Macaca fascicularis: one gene and its partners. The main gene of each other region encodes a partner of the protein of the gene in region 4 in a complex. Links are inferred from orthologs where the notes say so. Each region holds a gene or a part of one and is shown on either strand. Other genes may lie near its edges.

Evidence for each region.
Region 1: SRRM2 (region 4) and PPIL2 share a complex: the UniProt entries of both Homo sapiens proteins name them as parts of the minor spliceosome. The link is inferred for Macaca fascicularis from reciprocal best matches to the Homo sapiens genes SRRM2 and PPIL2.
Region 2: SRRM2 (region 4) and CWC22 share a complex: the UniProt entries of both Homo sapiens proteins name them as parts of the minor spliceosome. The link is inferred for Macaca fascicularis from reciprocal best matches to the Homo sapiens genes SRRM2 and CWC22.
Region 3: SRRM2 (region 4) and GPKOW share a complex: the UniProt entries of both Homo sapiens proteins name them as parts of the minor spliceosome. The link is inferred for Macaca fascicularis from reciprocal best matches to the Homo sapiens genes SRRM2 and GPKOW.

The regions. Positions count from the first base shown.
Region 1 is NC_088384.1:31,463,058-31,467,307, reverse strand, and holds the start of PPIL2 (RING-type E3 ubiquitin-protein ligase PPIL2), read left to right. Parts: upstream 1-1,396; 5' UTR 1,397-1,490; coding exon 1,491-1,522; intron 1,523-4,250. UniProt on the Homo sapiens protein: Has a ubiquitin-protein ligase activity acting as an E3 ubiquitin protein ligase or as an ubiquitin-ubiquitin ligase promoting elongation of ubiquitin chains on substrates.
Region 2 is NC_088386.1:75,564,213-75,568,463, forward strand, and holds the start of CWC22 (pre-mRNA-splicing factor CWC22 homolog), read right to left. Parts: upstream 2,855-4,251; 5' UTR 2,815-2,854; intron 1-2,814. UniProt on the Homo sapiens protein: Required for pre-mRNA splicing as component of the spliceosome. As a component of the minor spliceosome, involved in the splicing of U12-type introns in pre-mRNAs. Promotes exon-junction complex (EJC) assembly.
Region 3 is NC_088395.1:49,285,823-49,290,033, reverse strand, and holds the start of GPKOW (G-patch domain and KOW motifs-containing protein), read left to right. Parts: upstream 1-1,357; 5' UTR 1,358-1,378; coding exon 1,379-1,554; intron 1,555-2,319; coding exon 2,320-2,474; intron 2,475-2,573; coding exon 2,574-2,698; intron 2,699-4,211. UniProt on the Homo sapiens protein: RNA-binding protein involved in pre-mRNA splicing. As a component of the minor spliceosome, involved in the splicing of U12-type introns in pre-mRNAs.
Region 4 is NC_088394.1:3,609,198-3,612,767, reverse strand, and holds part of SRRM2 (serine/arginine repetitive matrix protein 2), read left to right. Parts: intron 1-41; coding exon 42-74; intron 75-257; coding exon 258-308; intron 309-474; coding exon 475-567; intron 568-652; coding exon of another isoform or gene 653-695; exon of another isoform or gene 696-915; intron 916-1,209; coding exon 1,210-1,408; intron 1,409-2,455; coding exon 2,456-3,570. UniProt on the Homo sapiens protein: Required for pre-mRNA splicing as component of the spliceosome. As a component of the minor spliceosome, involved in the splicing of U12-type introns in pre-mRNAs.

The sequences.
Region 1 (4,250 bases), on a different chromosome or scaffold from region 4:
AACACTGAGATGTCTTTACTTCTTGGGATATCTACTTCATTCCTTTAAGCAGTTCCAAAATAGTCCACTGCATGGCTGTACCAGGGGTCGTTTAGCTGTGTTCTCATAGACATTTGTTTCCAGTTTTTTTTTTTCTTTGAGACAGAGTCTTGCTCTGTCACCCCAGGCTGGAGTACAATGGCACAATCTTGGCTCACTGCAACCTCTGCCTCCTGGGTTCAAGTGATTCTCACTGCCTCAACCTCCTGAGTAGCTGGAACTACAGGCACCCGCCACCACACCCGGCTAATTTTTGTATTTTTAGTAGAGACAGGGTTTTGCAATGTTGGCCAGGCTAGTCTTGAACTCCTGACCTCAAGTGATCCGCTTGCCTCAGCCTCTCCAAGTGCCAGGATTACAGGTGTGAGCCACCACGCCCGTCCACACATGTTAAATTTGAGATCAGCGGCTACCCAAGTGGAGATCAGGAACCTGGAGTACTTGTGACTTAGTATTGGGAGTCATGGGATATAAATGGCGTTTAAAATTAGGAGCCTAGGCAAGATTACCCCAGGCCTGAGTGTAGTTGGGGGCCCAAGGTACTGTTCTGACCCAAGGCAAGAGTCTGGCAGAAGAGAAGGAAGGGATCAGGCAGGGTTTTGGACCTCTAGGCTTGATGGCCACCTGCTGCTGGGCCTCCAAGGGGCCTGGAGGCGGTGCGGACGGAATATGCAGAGAGAATGAGAAGTGAGCGAGTAGAACGAGGGTGGTACATGGCTTTGAAGGAGTCGGCCACGGAGGCGGGAAAGGATGGGGTGGAGGCTCATGAGACTTGAAGCTCTAGGAGGACACTGAAAAAGACCTGAGCGCTGGCCGGGCGCGGAGGCTCAGGCCTGTAATCCCAGCACTTTGGGAGGCCAAGGCGGGAGGACTGCTTGAGCTCAAGAGCTCCAGACCAGCCTGGGCAAAATAGTAAGAGCTTGTCTCTACAAAAAATTAACATATTAGCCGGGTGTGGTGGCGCGTGCCCGTAGCTACTCGGGAGGCTGAGGTGGGAGAATCGCTTGAGCCTGGGAGGTCGAGGCTGTAGTGAGCTGTGATTGCGCCACTGCACTCCAACCTGGGCGACAGAGCGAGATCCTGTCTCGAAAATAAAATAAGACCTGAGAACCCAGTATGGGAATGGCCCTGAGCCGTGGCTGAGGGGGGTAGGCGAGGCGGTCGGGAGAGACCCTTCGAGAAGATGGGGCTTCGAGGCTGAGGGAGCTCTGCCCCGAGAAGGCGCCAGCGAGACACAACACACCTAGCTAGGACCCCATACTGGGCAGGCGATCCTTCCGAGCATGCGCACCTGGCGCTAGCGAACCACAATTCCCAGCCCGCCAAGCGCCTGTTTCCGGGGCGAGCCGCGGAACCCGGAAGTGGTCACGAAACTCGGCAGTGGCTCCATGGTCTGAGTGGTCAGCGGTTGCTTTTTCGTGCTAGGTAGTTGCCGCCGCCGCCGCGCCGCCATGGGGAAGCGACAGCACCAGAAGGACAAGATGTAAGTTGAGCCGCAGTCGGGAGTGGCGCTCCGCTCTGCCTCAGTAAACCGCCTGTCCCGCCCTGCTCGCCGCTCGCCTTCCCTCTCAGCTGGTCCCCAGAGCCCAGCCCAAAAGTCACTTCCTCCCGGAAGCTGCCGCCGTCTCTCCAGTCAGGGTAATGACCCTCGGGCCGCCGCGCTCTCCCAGGGGGCCGCGGCTCCGAAGACGTCAGCTGCGGGCTCGAGCGCAGCCCGGTCTTCCTTTACTCTAGTTCTGCCCGGACCGTGCCCCGTCTGCTCGCGAGCTTTGCCCCTGTAATCTCTCCCTCTTCCGTACTTCGCGTCTGGCTGTGTTCTGGTTCATGCCTGTCAGCCTGCACACGTGCTGCAGAGCCTTCCTATTTAAAGCAAACCAGGCCGGGCGCGGTGGCTCACCTGTAATCCCAGCACTTTGGGAGGCTGAGGCGGGCGGATCACCTGAGGTCAGGAGTTCAAGACCAGCCTGGCCACCATCATGAAACCCCGTCTCTACCCAAAACACAAAAATTAGCGGGGCGTGGTGGCGGGCGCCTGTAATCCTAGCTACTCGGGAGGCTGAGGCAGGAGAATCGCTTGAACCCGGGAGGCGGAGATTGCCGAGAGCCGAGATCGTGTCACTGCACTCCAGCCTGGGCGACAGAGCCAGACTCTGTCTCAAAAATAATAAATAAAATAAAACAAAAAAATCCGCCTATGCCCCGTGCCCCGCGTTCCCCTCCTGCTGCCGCCGTGATTTCAGAACAAGTTAGAGACCCGTGGCTTCATGCTGTTTTCTGAGTCTCTTGAAACCACTCAAGTCAGAATTTCGATCCCAGAACTGCCCCTTGTCAGGTTGCCAGCGACTTCTTGTTGCTAACTCTAGTATTCAATCCTCAGTCCTCGTGTTTTTTTTGAGACGGAGTTTCGCTCTTGTTGCCCATGCTGGGGAGTGCAGTGGTGCGATCTCGGCTTTTCGCAACCCCCGCTTCCCAGGTTCAAGGGATTCTCCTGCTTCAGCCTCCCGAATAGCTGGGATTACAGGCATGTGCCCCCAGGCCCGGCTAATTTTGTATTTTTAGTAGAGAAGGGGGTTTCTCCATGTTGGTCAGGCTGGTCTCGAACTCCGATCTCAGGTGATCCGCCCGCCTTGGCCTCCCAAAGTACTGGGATTATAGGCGAGCCACCGCTCCAGGGCAGCCTCAGTCCTCATTTTGTTGGGGTTCTCAACAGTATGTCACACTGTTAACCACTCCCTCCTTCTGAAGCCTTCCTTTGGTATCTGAGATTTCCTGTGCTCTTTGTTTTCCATCGACTTCAGCGGCCTCTCTTTTCCCAGCCTCCTTTCTGGACCCTCCTCCCTTTTCTCAGATCTCATAGGTTTCTTTTCCATAAACATTCTCTGTGAGTGATATAATTTCCCAGTCATCTATAAGCTGCTTTCCCCAGTCTTGTGTAGTTAGTGGCTTACTTGATATCTCCACTGGAGGACTGATAAACATCTCAATTTTTTTTTTTTGAGATGGAGTCTTGCTGTGTTGCCCAGGCTGGAGTGCAATGGTGCGATCTTGGCTCACTGCAACCTCTACTTCCCAGATTCAAGCGATTCTCCCACCTCCGCCTCCCCAGTAGCTGAGATTACAGGCACCTGCCACCATGCCCGGCTAATTTTTGTATTTTTAGTAGAGATAGGTTTCACCATGTTGGCCAGGCTGGTATCGAACTCCTGACCTCGGGTGATCCACCCGCCTCTGCCTCTCAAAGTGCTGGGATTACAGGCGTGAGCCACCGTGCCCTCAAATTTAATATGCCTTAAACAGAACTCTTGATTTTCAGCTCCTGAGCCTGCTCCTCCCTGTAAGCTAAAAATAAAATCCTAAATCCCCTTACTGGCTGAGCAGACACCCTTGTGCCTAAGAGAACTCCAGGAAAACCTTAAAACTGAGTTCCTGGCCATGATGCGATGGAGGTCAGCTGTACCTTGTTATATCTTCCTCCCTTTTGTGGCCCAGACACAACAACTGACTGGCATTAACGTTGAAATAGAGATCATAAGGGGCCCGGCGCGGTGGCTCGCACCTGTAATCCCAGCACTTTGGGAGGCTGAGGTGGTGGATCATGAGGTCAGGAGATCGAGACCATCCTGGTTAACATGGTGAAACCCCGTCTCTACTAAAAATACAAAAAAAAAAAAAAATTAGCTGAGCATGGTGGCTAATTTTTAATAAAAATAAAGAAATAGAAATAAGATTGACGAAACAGACTCTTTGTGGCAATAAGATACCAAATTATAAATAGAACCTACAGTCATGCCAGACAACTTCCCTGGTTAAGTTACCCACCCCTACGCCTAAAGAATAAACTATATCCTAACTGCCACAGGGTTTTTTTATTTCTCTATCAGCTAAACAAGCACTGGCGTTCAGATAAGCAATTTTTTTTTTTTTTTTTTTGAGATGGAGTCTTGTTCTGTTGCCCAGACTGGAGTGCAGTGGTGCGATCTCGGCTCAGTGCAAGCTCTGCCTCCCGGGTTCACGCCATTCTCCTGCCTCAGCCTCCCGAGTAGCTGGGACTACAGGTGCCCACCGCCACACCCAGCTAATTTTTTGTATTTTTAGTAGAGATGGGGTTTCACCGTGTTATCCAGGATGGTCACGATCTCCTGACCTCATGATCCACCAGCCTCGGCCTCCCAAAGTGCTGGGATTACAGTTGTGAACCACCGCGCCCAGCT
Region 2 (4,251 bases), on a different chromosome or scaffold from region 4:
TGGACAATAAACTGAAATTATTATTCAAGTTAAGGCATGGGCATTTGAAATACAAAATGTGTCACCGTGCTGTCTTCTGGGTGGTCTCAGGTACAAGCCACTGTAGGTCATTCAACAATGTTCAATCATGGGGAAGGAGAGTTAACTTCTTTTCTTTTTCTTCTTCTTTTTCTTGAGACAGAGGCTCACTTTATCACCCAAGCTGGAGTGCAGTGGAGTGATCTCGGCTCACCGCAACCTCCGCCTCCAGGTTCAAGTGATTCTCCTGCCTCAGCCACCCGAGTAGCTGGGGCTACAAATGCACAGCACCACACCCTGCTACATATTTTTGTATTTTTAGTAGAGACAGGGTTTCACCATGTTGGCCAGGCTGGTCTCGAACTGCTGATCTCAAGTGATCCGCCTGCCGTGGCCTCCCAAAGTGCTGGGAATGCAGGCATGAGCCATCGCGCCCCAACAGAAGAATTAACTTCTAAAAATTCAACAGCTGGGAAAGCTAATAGAGCTAAGAAAGCTCGCTTAGAAAAACCAGGTAGTCTAGGAAGTGTCAGAACTCCAAAAAGTGATTGGAGGTAATCTATCCAAAGCAGGGAAGGATGTGGTGGCATAATAATAAATACTGGCTGGCCATGGATCAAGTACTTTGGAGCAAGGAGGGAAACAAACCTGATTCTGAGGACAGGGGGAGGATGAACCATAGCATGCCCCTAAAAGATGGGCTAGAGCAGAAGTTTTCAAACTAACTGGCATGAGAATCACTCGAACGCTTTGGCGCAAAAAAACCCAAAAAAAAAAACAAAACTGTTGGGCCTGCATTTCTACGTTTCTGATTCAACAGAACTGGGTGAAGCCCAGTAATTTACATTGCTAATAAGCTTCAAAGAGATGTTGCTGATTCAGGAGACCACATTTTTGGAACCACTAGACCAGGGTATTAGATCAAAGTTCTTGGCCTTTAACTTATAACCAAGACGGTCTCAGAGCCCCAGTCAATTGAGTTGGGTAAGACTCCATAAAAGTGGCATGGACACTTAAAACTAGAAGGGCACTGGCCGAGCGCAGCGGCTCACCCTGTAATCCCAGCACTTTGGGAGGCTGAGGTGGGTGGATCACGAGGTCAGGAGATAGACACCATCCTGGCTAACATGGTGAAACCCCGTCTCTACTAAAAATAAAAAAAATTAGCAGGGCGTAGTGGCTGGCGCCTGTAGTCCCAGCTACTCGGGAGGCTGAGGCAGGAGAATGGCGTGAACTCGAAAGGCGGAGCTTGCAGCGAGCCAAGATCCGCCACTGCACTCCAGCCTGGGCGACAGAGTGAGACTCCGTCTCAAAAAAAAAAAAAACCTGGAAGGACACTTAAAGGTGGAAAGGCAACACTCAGACCCAGAGGGCAAGAACTGAGGCACAGACAGAACTCATCAACTGTATCATAGTAGCAATTTACAATAATACAAAGCTAACACTGTATATCAGGCACTGTGCTCAGTGCCTCATCTGCATTATTTTCTTTATACTCAAAAAAAGACAACACAGTGAGGCAGGTATTGTATTATTACCTACATGTTTTCAGATGATGAAGCTGACTATATATAATAGAGACTTTAACTTGCTCCAAGTGACAGACCTAATAATAGCTAAATAAAACTGAAATCTTTGGTCTACTAGTCCATCACCCAGGACCAACAAAAGTAGCTTTCCTCAACCTACTGATAAGGCCTGTAACAAGGCTTCTCCTCTCCTGGTCAAAACCACACTTTTAATGTCAATTTTAAATCTGCCCTTGCATAGTAGGATAATCTGTGTTAACTCCTGAATTCACAAGCAATCCTACAACAAGATAAGTCTAAATACGGATAAGAGGTAGGTTAACTGATCTGCTGAGGACCCAATTTGTTTGTTTATCTGCTATTTCGAGTCTCTGCACATCCAAAAATGCAAAGGAAACTCTTACCTAATTCTTGCATCTAGAATAGCCTTTCTCCAAATCCTGCCTTCTCCAATTACCTCAAAAGAATTGTTAGGATTAAGTGGAAATAGGTATGGTAGTTTTTGCAGTTAAACTCAGTGAAATTAACGATTATATTTCCGTTCTATAATGCTGTGTTACAGGACCCAAAGCTCCTTAGAGAGGTGGAGTCTGGACACCCAAGTTTAGCAGTTATTACCTCATTGGAGATAGTTCAAGTTATGTAAGGATCAAGAATGACAGGTGAAGAGGACACAAGAGAAGCGAAGCGTCTTCAAAACTAAACTCTAGAAACTATCAGTATTTACAGGGCAAATAAATGAAAAAGAAACCGCTAATGAAACGTAAAACAAATAGCCAAAGGGATATAACGCCGGAAAGAGGCATAAGAGTGCAAGTACTTCAACTAACTTTTAATCAACTAGAGCTCATTAATCCCACTCCCCAGGCACTGGGAAAGGGGCTTTGGCAAGCCCAATGGACTCCAGAGGCTCTAAGTATAAAACACACCGCACACGAAACAACAGAGCACCAGCGTTGGTGCAGGACTTCAGACAGCTGCAGGAACCTCACAAGGAAGGTCAGCCGGTCCGCTCAGGCAGTCAGTCAGTTCACCGCAGCCCATTCGCTCCCCACCCGCTTGGACTCCTCGGACCCAGCCACTCTCACACCCCTCTCGCGGGCCCGAGCGTGGCGGGAAGACCCACGCACACTCCAATGCCGCTCACAGCCGTATCAGTGAGCCCGCACCCACTCCTCAGGGTCTTTCACTTCCCACCCGACCCGACAACCCGCCACCCCCGCTCCGCTTCGGTGCCTACGGGGACTCCGCGGAGTTCGATAATTACCTAAAGCTGCACCGCGCCGCCATTACACCGGATGTACGTCACTTCCTCTTCCCGAGCACCGACAGTAGGAACAAGGCAGATACTGAAATACATAAAAACTTGACGCTCAATTGGCTTGACGCGTTATCCTTTTAATTTATTTCAGATACCATATCATAATGCCAGAGTCAAAGCAGTCGATCCAGGCACACTGTATTCTTATCAAAATGGCGACTAAAAAGAAGTTGGCATGAACTACAAAGTCCGAAATCCAGCACCTGTGCTGACGGAAATGACGAAAGCATAATTGTAGTTTAGCGGTGAAATGGCGCGGTGTACGATGGGAATTGTAGTTCATACAGATGCGCGCCAGCGAGTTAACATCCACGCTGCTGACTGGCAGCCTAGCAGTGTTTAGGGTCTAGGCAAATTTACTTTAATCTAAAAGTATTTCACTGCATTTTGGGAATTTTTTTTTTTTTTTAGTAGTCAGTTGTCACTTTCCTTGAAAATCTTAAGTGAGAGATTTTCTTGAGACTTTTTTTTATAAGAGTTTGACCAAGAGTCAAGTGCCTAATAAATTCCAAGACATCCAAGCCAAGAGAATGGGAGAATATTAGATCATAAATAGAGTGAAATAATGAGGAAAAAATAATTCTGTAGAGACTATGTTGCCTGTCTTTTAAGGTAAGGTACCAACTGGTATGACCTGAGAATAAGGAGATTGCCTGGCTGAGTAGGAAGTAGCAGTTTGTACAGCATGCAGAACTAGGGCATCAAACAAATTGTTTCTTTAAACTTCACTTTTCACTAGTAACAAAACGTAAAAGTTCAACTACTTACTATTTTGGAAACTCTCTTTCTAAAACAAGAATATCTTTATGTTATCAAATCTTTCATAAACCAGGCCTGATTTCTCCACACACTTCTCTATTACAGTTTTAGGGTGCTGTGCTTCCACTCCTTTCTGGAGGCAAAGTGTGAGAATTAAGAATAAAAACACTGCAGTTGGACTACTTACGTTTGAATCTTGAGTCCTTTGATTATTTATGGATGATTGGGGCAAGTAACTTCACATTCTGTGGCCGTTTCCTGATCTGTTAAATGGAAATACTAGTAGTACCCATTCATGCAGTAGTTGTAAGAATTGAATTAGTTGATTCACAAGATACGTTTAAGATAATTGCTAGTATACAATAGTGTTATCTATTTTATTTCATATTTAAGATATTTGGCCATTGTTGATGGTGCACTTTGGTGTACCAATACAGGGCACAGGAGATGGATCTGGAGATGAACATTTGTATTTATATATTTAAAAACCCACAATACTATCTGTGATGGTTAATTCTGAATATCAACTTGATTGGATTGAAGGATGCAAAGTATTGATCCTGGGTGTGTCTGTGAGGGTGTTGCCAAACTGTTGACAACTGTTTGTTGTCAAACAGTTGAGTC
Region 3 (4,211 bases), on a different chromosome or scaffold from region 4:
CTTCCTTCCTTCCTTCCTTCCTTCCTTCCTTCCTTCCTTCCTTCCTTCCTTCCTTCCTTCCTTCCTTCCTTCCTTCCTTCCTTCCTTCCTTCCTTCCTTCCTTCCTTCCTTCCTTCCTTCCTTCCTTCTTTCTTCTTTCTTTCTTTCTTTCTTTCTTTCTTTCTTTTTCTTTTTTAAGACAGAGTCTCGCTCTGTCGCCCAGGTTGGAGTGCAGTGGCGGGATCTCGGCTTACTGCAAACTCTGCCTCCCGGGTTCAAGCAATCCTCCTGTCTCAGCCTCCTGAGTAGCTGGGACTACAGGTGCCACCACCAGCCCGGCTAATTTTTGTATTTTTAGTAGAGACAGGGTTTCACCATATGAGTCAGGCTGGTCTCAAAGTCCTGACCTCAGGTGATCCACCAGCCTAGGCCTCCCAAAATGCTAGGATTACAGGCATGAGCTACCACGCCTGGCCAGTAGGCACTTTATGTCTATTATTTACTATTGTAGACAACTGACACTCCTTCCCCCGCCCCCGACCCTGACTTTTTCTTTTTTAGAGACGGGGTATCGCTCTGTCACCCATGCTGGAATGCAGTGGCGCAATAAGAGCTAAGTGCATCCTCGAACTCCTGGGCCTCAGGCCATCCTCCTGCCTCAGCCTGTGGGCTAAATGAAACTACAGGTGCACGCCACCACACCTGGCTGATTATTTCTAAATGATTTACTTCATCAACACTTCCCACATGAGTAGGGCACACAGTAGGCGCTCCATAAATACTTGTCAAACGCCTACACGAAGGAATCAATGCCTGGCAAGAATGAATCCACCTTCCACCATGCCTACCTCGCTAAAAACTACATTTCCGGCCGGGCGTGGTGGCTTACGCCTGTAGTCCCAGCACTGTGGGAGGCCGAGGCAGGCGGATCACGAGGTCAGGAGATGGAGACTATCCTGGCTAACACGGTGAAACCCGTCTCTACTAAAAATACAAAAATTAGCCGGGCGTGGTGGCGCATGCCTGTAGCCTCAGCTACTCGGGAGGCTGCAGCAGGAGAAGCGCTTGAACCCGGGAGGCAGAGGTTGCAGTGAGCCGAGATCACACCACTGCACTCCAGCCTGGGCAACAGAGCAAGACTCCATCTTTAAAAAAAAAAAAGAAACAAAAACAAAACAAAACAAAAAAAACTACATTTCCCTGTGCACTTGGCGCGACGCACTCCCACGACGTTTGAAAGAGCGACAATTACTTCCCACGGCCCCTTACCGCCCCCTCCCGCCGGTGCCACAGTGGTTGATGGGAAGGTAGTTTTTACGCACTTTGGCCGGCCCCTAGCCATCTGAACCCAAACTAAATTTCCCAGCAAGCAGCGCGCAGGCCTGGGAAAAGGGGCAAGATGGCTGACTCCGAAGAGGGTGTTTTGCCGCTGACGGCTGCTTCCACTGCCCCAATTTCATTCGGCTTCACTCGCACGTCCGCACGGAGGCGGCTGGCCGACTCGGGAGACGGCGCGAGGCCATCTCCGGAGGAGAAGGATTTCTTGAAAACCGTGGAAGGGAGGGAGCTGCAGAGGTGACGCGCCGGGTCTTTCACACCTTGGAAATCGCTGCGGTGGGCGTAAGCGGGAGGGAGGAATCTCACTCAGTCGTTTGTCTTGGTGACAGTGACCTGTTAAGCCTGAAGCACAGCCTGAGTAAATTCGTGGAGGCCAGAAGGCTGGAGTTTATAAGAGGGGTGGGGAAATTGGGCCTGATAGCCGTGGGAATTGCGAAGAGAGGATGTATCACTGAGAAGAAGTGTCTTTAGGACTTGAGGACACTGAGGTGTGTGCGTTTTGGGAGAAGGAAAGAATGAGAAAATGACAGGACCTGCTAGTGTCTCAGCTGAAGTGGTGGGGCTTCTCTGATATGGGGAACGGGATGGAGCGGCAGATTCAGGTTGATGGAGGCCACCATCAGCTTAATGAGGAGAGGAGAGTCTGAGGGAGGGATTTCCAGAAGAGAATCAGGCATCTGGGAAGCTGTTTGGGAACCTGGAGCTAGGGAGGGTCTAGGCTGAAGATAGTGATTTGTGGGCCATTGTGGAAGCCGGTCTTGAGTTAAACAGAGAGTCCAGGACTTATTTCTCGAAGGCACTGACATTTACGAGTTGGGGGCACTGGGGGGGATAATCCAAAGAATGCACGATCAGAGAGGTACAGGAGATCCAGACATGGAGTAGAGAAGGCATGGTCTGTGGGGCTGGGGTGAGTTTGGCTCTCGTGTTTTCTCTGAATAAAGGAGTGTGACCCACTGACACTGCCATTCTCCCAACCCCACCCCTCTGTGTCCACATCAGTGTGAAGCCCCAGGAAGCCCCCAAGGAACTCGTCATCCCTTTGATCCAGAATGGCCATCGCAGGCAGTCACCAGCCCGGCCCCCTGGGCCATCCACAGATACTGAGGCCTTGGCAGATGGGGTGCTGTCCCAGGCTGTGAAGGAGCTCATTGAGGGTGAGTGATGCCCCTTTACCCTTCCCCAGTGAAGGAAGAAGATGAAGAAGGTGGAAGGATAGAGTGGGACTTCATTGCTCCCTCCTATTCTTCCCTTAGAATCCAAGAAGTCTCTGGAAGAGAGAGAGAATGCGGGTGTCGACCCCACGCTCGCTATCCCCATGATCCAGAAAGGATGCACCCCCAGCGGGGAAGGGGCAGACAGCGAACCCCGGGCAGAGACAGTGAGCTGGCCCCTTGTCCCCCTCCTGCCCCAGCCTTTCTTTGCCCTGTCTGCTAGGCTTTGTCCCTGCACATAGCAGGGAAAGTCTGTGTGCTAGAGGCCCGCCACCTGTCCTTTCTCCTGTCATCCTTTTTGGAAGCATTACCAAATGAATCTGGATATCTGGATGCTAAAAACGTACTTGAATCCTAGGATTATCTGAATGAGGTGTGCAGCAAAGGGAACAGGAAATGTAAAGGCCCTGAAGGTAGACACTGCCTAGAGTGTTTGCGGAACACCAAAGAGACTAGTGTGACTGAAGTGGAATGAGTGAGGGGAAGGGATAGTAGACGAAGTCAGAAAGGAGATGGGGGTGCTAGACAAGGCAGGGCCTTGTAGGCCATTGTGAGGACTTTGGCTTTTACTCTGAGTGGGATGAGAGCCTAGGCAAGCCCTGAGCATAGATGAAATATGATTTATGATTTGACAGCATCCCTCTGGCTGCTGTGAACAGACTCATTAGTGAAGGTGGAAGCAAGGGGATGAGTAGTCCAGGCTAGAGATGCTGGGGACTTAGACCAGAGTGGTCTGGAAGGATAAGTAGGGTTTAGTGAGAGGGAAGAACAGAGTGAGTGTTCCTGTTGGTAGTAACAGCCCAAGCAATGGCATAGTGGCAGAAAATCGATGTGGTGTGTGTCCATCAGTGAGGCAACATGTGGTGTGTCTGGAGTGAATGGGAAGGAGTGATGATGGAAGGTGACGAGGAGATGTGAGAGGCGTGTCTACAGGAGTAACCAAGTCTGTCTTTCATACCCACAGACCTGACTTTTCACCTCTTCTTTCATAAATTTCTTGCATTGCTTCTTTGGAGTCTAGTTCTCCTACAGCCCCAGAACACTCTCTTTCAACTGAACTGTTCTCTTCAGCCTTCAGATGTGCTCTGATTTCCTTCAACTTTTTTTTGTTTGTTTGTTTTTTGTTTTTTGAGACAGAGTCTTGCCCTGTGGCCCAGGCTAGAGTGAAGTGGTACGATCTCGGCTCACTGCAACCTCCCGCTCCCGGGATCAAGCGATTCTCCTGCCTTAGCCTCCCAAGTAGCTGGGATTACAGACACGTGTCACTACCGCCTGGCTAGTTTTTGTATTTTTAGTAGAAACGAGGTTTCGCCACGTTGGTCAGGCTGGTCTTGAACTCCTGACTTCAGGTGATCTACCCACCTTGGCCTCCCAGAGTGCTGGGATTACAGGCATGATCCACTGTGCCCAGCTCCTTCATCTTTAAAGAAAAAAAAGATCCTCACTTCCCTCTTCATCCTTTCATCCTGTTCCAGCTTTAACCTCATTCCTCTAATTTTTCCCTCTATAAACCTCCTCCTGCAGCTTTATACATATCAGGTGACCAAAAATTCCATCCATCCTTCCTCTCACTCAGCATAAAAACCTTGGAGTCGGCCGAGCCTGTAATCCCAACACTTTGGGAGGCTGAGGTGGGCGGATCACCTGAGATCAGGAGTTCAAGACCAGCCTGACCAACAT
Region 4 (3,570 bases):
AGAGGTGTTTTTTATGTATTTTCTTCTCTTTTTTCCGACAGGTCAGAATCCGAGTCCAAGAAGCGTAAGCATAGGTAAGAGCTCTTTAACTCATTGGGGGCACAGTGGCATGTAGAGTGGTGATTTCTTTTTCTTGAAGTGAAGCTCAATACCTTGATCTTTCTCCTGTTAACATTCCCTAACTCTTTACATTTCACTTTTGGTTTTATTTCCTTTTTTAAAAAAGTTACTTTTAACAATCTTTCCTTATTTCTCAGGTCTCCCACTCCAAAGAGCAAACGTAAATCTAAGGACAAAAAGCGAAAGCGGTGAGTGAATTTGTGGGGAATTTGCTTAGAAAGTAAGTGAACACCACCTTAGTGGGAAGGGGTTGAGTCAGTTATGTCCCTAACTGGTAAAAGGTTGAGGGGTAGGTGAGGAAAATCCAGGGCAGGTACAGCAGTACCCTGAGCTGTGGCGGTGGTCTTCCTTCAGGTCTCGAAGTACAACACCAGCCCCCAAGAGCCGCCGGGCCCACCGTTCAACTTCTGCTGACTCTGCTTCCTCCTCTGATACTTCCCGCAGTCGGTAAGGGGTAGTCCAGGAGGAAGGGAGGGAGAGGGAATGATGGGTTAATTAATTTAATATTTATTGAGCGCCCACGGTGTGCTAGGCGCTGCACAGACCATTCGGAAGACACGGTCCCTGCCCTCTAGGAGCTGACAGGCTAAAGCAACAGGATGGACAGACATATACATTTCCCCTTCTCTTTTTTTTTTTGTTTTTGTTTATTTGTTATTTTTTGTTTCGTTCTGATGTATATGGACTGCCAGAATAGGGGGGGTGGTGGTTTGTTCGTGGTGTCTGGGGGAGGAAGGAATCCTTACCCTGGCTTCCTTAATCGGGGAAGGCTTCCTGAAGGAGGTGGGCTCAGAGGTGAGTTGTGAATGAAGCGGGTAGGGAGTGGGCTGGGTGGATGGTTTCGGGATGTTTGGGGGAGGTGAGTGAAGGGGTAGAGGGAGAACACTGTTTGGGATTGTGTTGGGAAGAGAAGAACCAAAGTGGACTGTACTTGCATTTCAGTGAATGATTTGAGTTATGCGACTAAGCAGGCTTTTTGGAAGAGGGTTGTACAGTTGGAAAAGGTGGATGGGAGTTGGGGAGGGGGTTTCCTGTTCTCCCTTTGAGCTGATTTCCTTCCTCTCCCCCATCCTCAATTAACTCCTGCAGGTCTCGAAGTGCTGCAGCTAAAACTCATACAACTGCCTTGACTGGGCGAAGTCCTTCCCCTGCTTCAGGGCGACGAGGGGAGGGAGATGCACCTTTCAGTGAACCAGGTACTACCAACACACAACGGCCTAGTAGCCCGGAGCCTGCTACAAAACAGCCTAGCAGCCCTTATGAAGACAAAGATAAAGACAAGAAGGAGGTATGTTCCTGAGTTGGTGATGTTCATTGGATTGCAAGTGTATAGATTTAGGATAAACTTGTGACATGAAAGGGAGAGGTAGTAACTTACTAAAATAAATTCGGTTATTTTTTTCTGCATTGATCTCCCAGTTTTCTTACTGTATCTGCAGAACTTGTAGTGTTGTTACTAGACTGAATTGTGAACCCTTTAGAATCAAATCTCACTGGATACTAATAGGTTTTATATTGTATCTTGTTTATACACAGAACTGGAACAAAAGTTGTATTTTATCTGTGTACGCCGTGTTTCTTTTCTTTTCTTTTTTCATTAAATGCTCGTTGTGTCTCACTAAAACTGTTTAATCCATTGGGGTGCCACCAATAGTTTGAATGAAACACTGGAATAGTCTTCAGTAGTTTTCTTTTCTAATTTTAAGCGTTAATCATTTCCTCTTGCTTTAGTGATTACAGTGTAAATTCTTGGCCTCTGTCATCAATTTTCCATGTCATCCAGGATTACCTTTCCAAATTACAAGTTGGTTGACCTCAGAAACTTAACTGCTTCCTTATTGCTTTTGAATTACATTTAAGGCTTTTAATAATTTGGTCTTTTTCTCATTTCCTGTACTCTTTCCATCCTGGTCTGCTTTTCTACTCTTCAAACAAATCATGTTCTCACATCTTTATTCATGTTGTTTCTTTTCCTTTAATAGAGTTATTCTTAAAAGGTGAAGTTGCCATTCGCTTTAGGAAACTGCTTATTTTTCCATTTAAAGATAGTTTTTTCCGCTTTGATAACATTTCGTAGTGGTATTTGTTGTTAAATGTAGTAGTGTGTTAGTTATTTGCGTTTAGTGTTTCAGTTTTAAGATTCTCAGACTATCCATATCTTCATATGTTTTCCCCACTGTTCTTTATATAATTCCTTGTTATTGAATGAAAGTGATTGCTTGTGGTCAGGGGATGTGTAAAAGAAAAGTTATTGGAAAGGGTGTTGGGATCTTAGGAGTGATGTGAAGTCTTGGCGTTTATGAATCCCTATCCCTACTCTCTCTTTCACTCTTAGAAATCTGCAGCTCGACCTAGCCCCTCTCCGGAAAGGAGCAGCACAGGCCCAGAACCACCTGCTCCCACTCCGCTCCTTGCTGAGCGACATGGCGGCTCCCCACAACCACTTGCAACAACCCCCTTAAGCCAAGAGCCAGTGAACCCCCCATCTGAGGCCTCTCCCACTCGGGGCCGTTCACCACCTAAGTCTCCTGAGAAACTTCCCCAGTCTTCTTCCTCAGAGAGCAGCCCACCATCCCCTCAACCTACCAAAGTTTCTCGGCATGCCAGCTCTTCCCCAGAAAGTCCTAAACCTGCTCCAGCTCCGGGGTCCCACCGAGAGATTTCTTCTTCTCCCACATCCAAGAATCGCTCACATGGCCGAGCAAAACGGGATAAATCACATTCTCATACCCCTTCCCGTAGGACGGGGAGGTCCCGTAGCCCTGCCACCGCTAAGAGAGGGCGATCTCGGTCTCGAACCCCTACAAAGAGAGGTCATTCTCGATCCCGATCTCCCCAGTGGCGTAGGTCCAGGTCTGCACAGAGGTGGGGAAGATCTAGAAGCCCCCAGCGACGTGGCCGCTCTAGGTCTCCTCAGCGACCAGGCTGGTCTAGGAGCAGAAATACCCAGAGAAGAGGCAGGTCTAGGTCAGCAAGGCGAGGGAGGTCCCACTCTAGATCCCCAGCCACTCGGGGCAGATCTCGTTCTAGAACACCAGCCCGGCGGGGCAGGTCACGCTCTAGAACACCTGCCAGGCGGAGATCACGATCCAGAACACCTACCAGGCGTAGGTCTCGGTCTAGAACACCAGCCCGGAGGGGCAGGTCTCGGTCTAGAACACCTGCTAGGCGCAGATCTAGGACCCGATCGCCAGTACGACGGAGGTCTCGTAGTAGATCACCAGCCAGGAGAAGTGGCAGGTCACGCTCCAGAACCCCAGCTAGACGTGGCCGCTCACGCTCCAGAACCCCAGCCAGACGTGGCCGCTCACGCTCTAGAACCCCAGCTAGACGCAGTGGTCGCTCACGCTCCAGAACACCAGCCAGGAGAGGGAGGTCTCGATCTAGGACACCAAGACGAGGAAGATCCCGCAGTAGAAGCTTAGTTAGACGTGGAAGATCTCACTCTAG